Coturnix japonica: one gene and its partner. The protein of the gene in region 2 binds, or shares a complex with, the protein of the main gene of each other region. Links are inferred from orthologs where the notes say so. Each region holds a gene or a part of one and is shown on either strand. Other genes may lie near its edges.

The links.
Region 1: the proteins of MPP1 (region 2) and GYPC are in contact, whole or in part, in an NMR structure (PDB 2EJY), measured with the Homo sapiens proteins. The link is inferred for Coturnix japonica from reciprocal best matches to the Homo sapiens genes MPP1 and GYPC. Residues at the interface, in NP_002427.1 of Homo sapiens: Pro81, Met82, Gly83, Ile84, Leu86, Lys87, Leu88, Leu100, Val130, Gln134; in NP_002092.1 of Homo sapiens: Arg123, Lys124, Glu125, Tyr126, Ile128.

What each region holds. Positions count from the first base shown.
Region 1 is NC_029522.1:22,778,145-22,782,639, reverse strand, and holds the start of GYPC (glycophorin-C), read right to left. Parts: upstream 3,060-4,495; 5' UTR 2,858-3,059; coding exon 2,824-2,857; intron 1-2,823. UniProt on the Homo sapiens protein: This protein is a minor sialoglycoprotein in human erythrocyte membranes. The blood group Gerbich antigens and receptors for Plasmodium falciparum merozoites are most likely located within the extracellular domain.
Region 2 is NC_029519.1:2,081,043-2,084,852, forward strand, and holds part of MPP1 (55 kDa erythrocyte membrane protein), read right to left. Parts: intron 3,722-3,810; coding exon 3,653-3,721; intron 1,496-3,652; coding exon 1,299-1,495; intron 911-1,298; coding exon 804-910; intron 226-803; coding exon 145-225; intron 1-144. UniProt on the Homo sapiens protein: Essential regulator of neutrophil polarity. Regulates neutrophil polarization by regulating AKT1 phosphorylation through a mechanism that is independent of PIK3CG activity.

The DNA of each region.
Region 1 (4,495 bases), on a different chromosome or scaffold from region 2:
CGTTGCCTCAGAACTGGAGTCACTGCAGTCCAACAGGAAGAGGGCAAAAGCTGCAGTTAGAGATTGCCAAACTTGTGGAATTCTTCCAATTTTGTAATAAGTCAGGCACTTACTTCCTGTGCATCTGAGCAGTGTTTGGAAGAAGCAAATATGTCACTAGAAGGTGATATACTTAGAAATTATGTATTTGAAAGTTGGGAAGTTCGCATCTCTTTAGTGAAGTTAGGTCTTCTTAATAAAAATAACAACAATAATGACATGAAAAAGAAGAAAGAAAATGGAGATACATTCACAGCACAATATTGAATCCAAGCCAATGAATTTGAGGTCCCAGCTCCATTTTTGGCTTTGTTAGAAGACTTCTTTCCTTCGGTATTCCTGGATTCTAGCCACATGCAAATGTCTGTTACAGAAGAATGATGGAGTAAATATTTTACACACTGCCTAGTATCAGCAGACTGAACTACTGGCTCACTCAGCTCTCCATTGAGTATACAGAGACCCCACCGAGAGTGATGGGATGTTGGAGCTAAGCATGGCTCCCTGACATTATAAGGTATGGTACCCCCATTGAGAAGCAGAATACATTTGCTGACTTTGCAGAAGTGAACAGTTTAAATCTGAAACAGCAATCTGCTCCCACATGGATTGATAGGATTGTACTGCTCTTATAGAATTAATAAAAATCCCTGATCAGCTGCAAGTGAACACAAGGAGATAAGCAAAGAATACAAGCAATTAGGTAACTTAACCCTGCTTAATTTAAATCGGTAGGCAGCTGCTCTAAGGTCTCACCTGCAAGTACCCAGGAATAATTAATATAGTCAGTAATAATTAATATATTGAGTCTAGTCAAAGGGTTTTGGTGATTCTTTATATGTTTTTACACCCATTTAAAAGATTTTCATTATACTTCTGAAGCAAATGCGTTTTCCCAAATATGCTGCCTTTCTGTAACACATCTGCTGTCCATACTGTGCTGCCCCTGGTAGTACATCAGCTTTTTGATGTCTTATAACTTACAAATATTACTGGAATTTTACTAACAAATAAGACCTTTGTCCCCAGCCCTGGTCCCCAAAACTTCATCCACTATACAAATAACGCCCTGGTTTTACTGTGCCAGATTATGTTACAGATTTCTCTTTAATTTTATTCTTTCTCTGTCATTTGATCCATATAATTAAAAAATAAACAGATAAACAAACAAACAAACAAACAAAAAACACCAAAAACAATAATCAGAGGGACACAATGTGAAATAAGATACATTCTGTATGAATCAGTATGAGAAATTATGAGGGCAAGTAAAGAATAGACAGTCTTTTTTCTTTTTTCTTTTTTTATCAGGCTGAATTCTTATTCTAGCAGGATTGAAAACCACTTATTTGGTGTTTTGAACTGGTTCTTGGCTTGTCACCAGGCCAAGACTGTCACTAGACATGAAAACTTTGGTCTGGACCCTTGGTGATACTGCACAAGGAGCAAAATGAACCTCACTGAGTCACTGCTGCCCTCCTGCACATGTAATTAAGAGCACCAGTGGAAGTTTATTCACACTTTTGTAAACCCAAACTCAGGATCCTGAATTAGCCTGCCTGTTTCTTTCCTGTCTATTACAGAAAAACAAACGTTAACAGAAACAATAGTAAACAAGTCATTATCGCCTAAACTGCTGAGTAATATAGAATAACATATAAGAGCTATCATCTAATCTTTGGAGTTTGTTGGAACTTGCAAAAAAGAAATAAAGGGTAAACAGAAATTGCTGCCTGGGATTCCAGAGCTACTGCTCGCTGGGCTGTTTCTGCTGGATCAGCCTGTCCCATTGAAAGCTCAGGAAGCACCGCTGCCATTAGCTTCCATATAGACCAAATATTCTGACAGCACAGCCCAAATTTCCAGCAGCTCCCAGCAATCCTGTCTGTACATTTTGTCTTCATTACTGATACCACAGAATGATAAACAATTCTGCTATTGGCAATTTGTTTATTAAAAATATTACAAAATTACTATCTCAAATTAAAACAGGAAAGATTATACCAAAATCATGAAGGAGAGGGTCACATCCTGCTGTTGCAGCGCTGAAAACTTTCCTCAGTTTATCAGACCAGAATCCATCCCCTTCTCTTCCGCTTTCTTTTTTTATGCTAACCCAAAAGGAATGCAGGCATGCTGCCGTTAAGCATCTGTGTTCACTTGACTGTTCAGGCCAAATTCTCTTTCCAAGTTCACTAAAATATGCAGAGTTATGCCAGCAGAGGACTTGCCCTCTTGCACCCTCCCTTTCTGAGAAGCGAACTTGCTTGTCCTTAAGCCCCCGTTTCTACATTTCCAGAGCAGAAATACATTGTGACTTTAAATATAGATGGTCCGTTTGTGGCTTTGCGTCTCATGTTACACGCAGACAGCCTGGGACTCTAAACAGAAGTTGGGCAGCACCATTAATAGCTTAGAAAAGCATCAGGAAGTTTTCGAAATGCTCTATATTTTCATTCCTGGAGGTGGGGTGGGGAGGGAAAAACATTTAAACTTTCTTAAACCACAGTTTAGACAGAAACATTACTGACTTTGCTTGGTCCTATTCAGGAGTTGGAGTCTGCAGAGCCGTTTCAGTTCTTCACACACATGCACGTACACACACACACAAAGAATTAAAATGGAAAACAGTTTCATTGCAACTTTTTTCCTTCAGGATGAGTCTCAAACATTCTTTTTCTTTTCGTTTTCCCTTTCACATGAAACACATTTGACAATCCTTTCCTGAAGCGGCAGACTGGTAAACCCACTCTTACTGCAAGGAGGGGGGATAAGGGTACTCACGTGGTTGAGATGTCGTATTGTTTTGGTAACTCATAATTTACGCCTTTGAAAAATGCCTTATTTGTGTTGACAGCCTCTCTTCCCTGCTCAGAACCGACGGCGGGATTGAGCAGAACAGCTGGAAGAGCCCAGGAAAATGCAGCTCTTGTTCAGGCTCTCCTTTCCTGGCTCCTGACCCCTTTACAACTGGAAAAGGAAACAGCACATGTGTCATTCTCTTTTGCCTGTGTAGCTCACATGAGCGGGGAGGGGCACACATTTGCAGATAGCAGTAACTGTATTCAAGTTTTGCAAGTTGGATGTATTCCATCCCTTTGCTTTTACTAGCCAGCAACCAGTGGAAAGAAAATGCTCTTTACTTTCTCAGCCAAATTCAGACGCACCTATTAGATTCACCTCCCAAGCCCCTACTGACATTATTTAAGTGCAAAACTCACTGCGCTGTGAGTCCCCTCCAAAAATGCCCGTCATCGCTGGGTGAGATCAAGATCAGAGCTTCCAAGTTTTATTGCCCAGCAGCATCCTTACACTCACAGTCTGATCCTGTCCTTTTAATGGGTGAAAGCTGAGAATGGCATTTACTGGGTCAGAGACATTGCATCTGCATAGAGCGTGAATCTGAAGCGCATTCAGAGTGAGAAATAACCTGTGGCTGAGACACAGGCTGACACATGGGTAACTCCAGTCCTGGGCTCTAACACAAGATTCTTGTGGTATCTCGGGCAAAGCACTTCATCTCTGCCTCAGTTTGTCATCTGCAGAAAAAAGATGACATGTTTTTTTCCTTCTAGTCGTGGTATTTGTATTTTAATCCACAGGGAAGTGTTCTTTATAAATAGAATATGTTCATTGGTCTGCATTACTCCTACTTTGCAGCAAGTTTTTCAGCCTGGACTAGGCTACCAGCTCCCTTGTTTATATTGCTACTATTAGCTATTTCTGTGCTGTGGTGCATCCACATTCACCATTACTGCATACTCCAGTTACTGCAAGTGTCCATATACAGTGAACACCGTGAGCTGTGACTTCTAGGTCCTATCAAAACACAAGTCCTTTATAACACATCTGTCTTAGACAGTATGAAGAGTGGGTGAAGTTTTTGTTTTCCTAGTCCCTGTGAGTCAGGATGAATTAACTGCCTGTCTGTGACAGCAAAAACACAGTACCCATTGGAATGGAAATGGAAAAAAACAGAGTCATGAAATTCAGGCTGAGACTCATCCTGTTTTGTAAAATTGTTGCAGGATATTTCTGTGAAATCATCTCAGTGACCTCCTGCAAGAAATCATTGCTGTGAACTTGGTTCATAGCATTTATTTTACAGCTATAAGATGGAAAGACCAGTGACTTATTTGCATGCCAAAGCCAAATAACAGCTTGTTTGTGAGCACAGATACAATAAACGACTTGGGTCAGCACTTTCCAAGCTCACTGTAGAGAGCTCTGGAACATTCAGTGATGGATGCTACAAAGCAAAGCACAAAACAAAGAGGCAAAAAACTCCTGACACTGGTTTCAACTCACAAAACTGATTTACACCAGATAGCTTCAGTATGGAAATATTGAAAGGCCTGTTACTTCTGTATGTGAAGCACAATTTGCACAGGTAAAATTACATCTTTCTGTCCTGGAGTGTGAGAAATGTTGTTATGCAAATTTTCTACATTTAAGT
Region 2 (3,810 bases):
CCACGTGGCAGATATCACCCTTCCGGGCAATCGCTGCAGGTAGAAGAAATGCTCCCCAGTGCTTACCAGCTTTCAAAGGGCAGTGCTGTCTCAGCCCTGGTTCCCCACAGCCCCTACCACGTGCAGGACAGGGGCAGGACCTACCTATGAGCACCAGTGTCTTCCTCTTGAAGGCAGGCAGCCTCACCACCTCCTCGTATGAAACTACATCCAGCTGGTCAAAAACTGCAGTGAAGGAGAAATAAGAGTAATTAGAGCTGTCTCAGCTACAGGATAGGACTGTGCATGCTGGAGCAAAGCCAGATCCTTCAGCAAAATCTAGGGAGCAGTCAAGATGGGCTGTGGGTTTTCCTCTGCTTGTCTGGCTTGGGAAAGAGCACCAGCCCCAGCAGCAACCAGTACATGGCATATGTGTGGTGCTGAGAGGCTGGACTAGCAGCCTCTAAAGGAGTTAGATGTTTTCTCACTCTGTTTCTGCTCAGGGCAGTAGGACCCTGGGGCCGGGTGGGGAGGCAGTGGGAAGTTGCAGAGAGCTTGTTGCTGGGGAAGCTTTATTTATCTCTCTGATTTACGGCCTTGTTTGCTATCGGTCGGAGCTGTAGGTTGGGCTAGGAGCCAGCACGTCCTCAGGCCACTGCCTTTGCTGTCCTGGAGCAGGCCAAGCACTGCTTAGCACGGGGTTTAAGCAAGCAGATGACAAGCACGTGCCCCAAAAGCGACGCTGCTGGCTGTGCAGGGCCAGCTCCTGCCCCGCATTTGGCAGCCTGCAGGGTTTGGGGGCCCAGCACCCTGCTTGCACTTACTTGAGCTGTGCTTGGCTAGGTATTTATCTTTGTACTTCTTTTTCTTCCCAAAGGGGCTGCAGCTCTGGGCTTCGCTCTGACTGGATTGGGTGACACTCGCCACACGCCTGCCAAGAGAGAATAACACCCACTGTGTTTGGGGGCCCTGGGGAGCAGAGGGATCATCCCTCACACATGCAGTGGGGTGACTGCTGGGACAAGCAAAGACTCATCCTGGAGCAGATGAGGTGAGGCGTGCCTCCTTCCCCAGCAGTGGCACTGGTACTACCCAGCATGGTCACTGAGCCCCAGATCCAGCACTTCCAGCCAAACCCAGCAACCACATCCTTATGCAGGGCTGTGATGGGTCATGGCAGTCATGGTGAGACAGCTCAGATCCTGTCAGAACGCACCTAATGCTTGCCATGCATGACACAGGACCTCCGTGCACCAAAGCCATGAGATGGACATGTGGCATCTTATGCCCAGACTGGGATTTCCTGCAAAGGGACTTACCACTCCTGCAGTTCAGGGGAAGGGATGAGTCCTGCTGACTCGGTACTGGAGCCTTCCACACGGCCCTGCCACCAGTTGCTGTCATCCTTGTTGATGATCTGAATCACGTCACCTGTCTGGAACTTCAGCCCTGCTTCCTTGCAGGGGATGAGGTTGTCTTTCCTGGGGTCATAGTCAAATTGTGCCCTCATGAACATCTGAAAGAGAGAAAGGGCTGGGATCAGTATGGCCATATCCAGTTCCTGACTCCATGCTGCATCTCCCAGCACCAGCTCAGCAATAGGAGCTGGTGAAAGAACTGCTGCCTCTCTGCAGGACCACGTGCCCTGCAGCTGGTGCTCAATCTCTGTCTGTGTAGCCCCTTGGCAGGCCTGGGTTCTGCAGTGAGCAGCCAGGAGCAAGCAGGGCAGCCCTGCATGGCACAGGGCCTTCTGCTAGCCCAAAGCACCGTGTCACATCTATCCCTGCCTGAGACTGTCCTGGCTCTTCAGTACCACCTCTCCCTGGGAGGAAGGTACAGCACACACATCTGCGCTCAGGTCCTCCCCAGGTAGGACAGACCATGCTGTCCTTAGACCATATCAAAACAATTTCCCCACAGTACGTTCCTCCAGCAATGCTGCTGTGATCTGCCAGACGCACGGGGCCAACAGGACACGAACATGGTTCTCTTTTGCTGCCAGAAAAGCAGAGCACATGGATCACACTGTGCCATGAGACCTCTCAAGGAAAACAACAAAAATGGAATGTCCTTCCAGGATCCATCCAGCCACCTGCTCAAGACTGACGCTTGTTCTGAAAGCGCTCTCCAGTGCCAGGAAGATAGTCGTCAACACAAGCACATGAGGGACATGCAGCAAGTACTGCCCAGGCACCTGCCTGGAGCCCTCTCCTTCAGCCCTGGTGCCCCTGGCTAGACATAGCCAGGTCACTCCTCATTTGGAAAGACCCCACCAACAAGAGTTACCTTCAGACACTGCCCCGGGTCAGCTCCCAGTGCAGACTATTTGCCAAACGCCTGCCAACCCCATTTCTGGGGCTGGAAGTTGAAATACCCAGCAGGATCCAGCACAAGGAGTGCTACTGTTTATAGTCAAAAGCCTGCAGCTGGAAGTGACCCTAAGAGACCGGAGCACTCAGTGCTTCTTATTAGGATCCTTCCAAACAGAATTGCCCCAGGAGGTCTGTGGCTGGCCTCAAATTGCCAGCTGCCGAGCTGTGTGGCCAGCTGGAGCTGTTTACCCATGGCATCGTGGTGCTGGGATCTGCCCCATCCTACCTGTCACACTGTGAAATTAAGATGCGCGTGGGGACAGAGGAGAAGAAACAAAACCAGGAGTTACTTTGCTCCCAGCAGGGGATTGCAACAAGCAGAGACACAGGCACAATATGACCTGTGCTTCCTGGGAGCCCGGATGCAATGAAAGGGAGTACAGCAGTTGTTGCTGGGCAAGGGTTTGTCCCCGTGTCCTTCTCTGAACCCGGAGCAGGTGCAGGTGAGCCAGCAGCCATGTTCTTTTGGTCAGAGGTAAGTTCTCCCCAGGTGCTGAGCTGGCCTGGCCAACAGGGAGGGTAGATAGGGCCAGCACTTAATACACAAACACATGCAAGGTTGGCTGAGCAGGAACAAAGACAGCAAGGGCTAAGAGGCAGTTTTTACTTGCTGTAAATTGTCTGTCCTCAATGGAGGGGCCATGCTGGGCTCCGCTCCTGCACCTGGAGCAGGTCAGTATACCTGACATCATCCCAGCCTTCCCTGCTATCCTGAGCACTTCAGCCAAAGCAGAGCTCCAAAGACAAAACCAGCCAAGTGCACCCATCTGAACATGTCACCCCTGCCACAGTGTGTCAGCCCTTCCCATGCAGTGGCAGCAGAAGCTCTCTTCCTCTCCCCCACCACTTCCTTCCTCCCACTTGCTCACTGCTAACGGTTCCTACCAACGTGCTGACAGCAGACAGAGCTAAATCATTCACCCTGCAGCTGAGGCACTAAGCATCAGTGATGGTGTGGGCATGTGCCCTGTGCTGCACCTAGGGGCTCTGCCATCACCCTGTAGAAGAGAAATGGCTGCACAGCTCTGTCATGGCAGTGCTCACAGGGAACAGGAGGCTCTTGTGCTTCCCGATGCACACACACAGCTGCTTTTGCATTACCAAACACTGCACACATGTACCTCTGACGCATGCTTCTACACACACATCTGGTTTATACATCTGCTCATTTGCACAGGCCAGGTCTCTTCCTCCTTCAACAGCTCAGTGAAGGGAAGAGGACAACCAGACCAGCACCAACCCCCGTGGTTTGCTCTGGTCCCACCCAGCCCCACAGCCACGGGTCTGGAAGCTGCACTTACCTGGAGAGCAGGGAGGCGGCTTTGCTGGTTGGGAATGACTTTTATTGAGACCATCCCCTGGGTTTCTTTCTAGTGAACAAAGGAAGGGGAGAAAGAAGAGTTGGAGGACGTAGACCTGGATGCAGCCCAACAGCAGCAGCCTGTGCACAGAGCAAGGC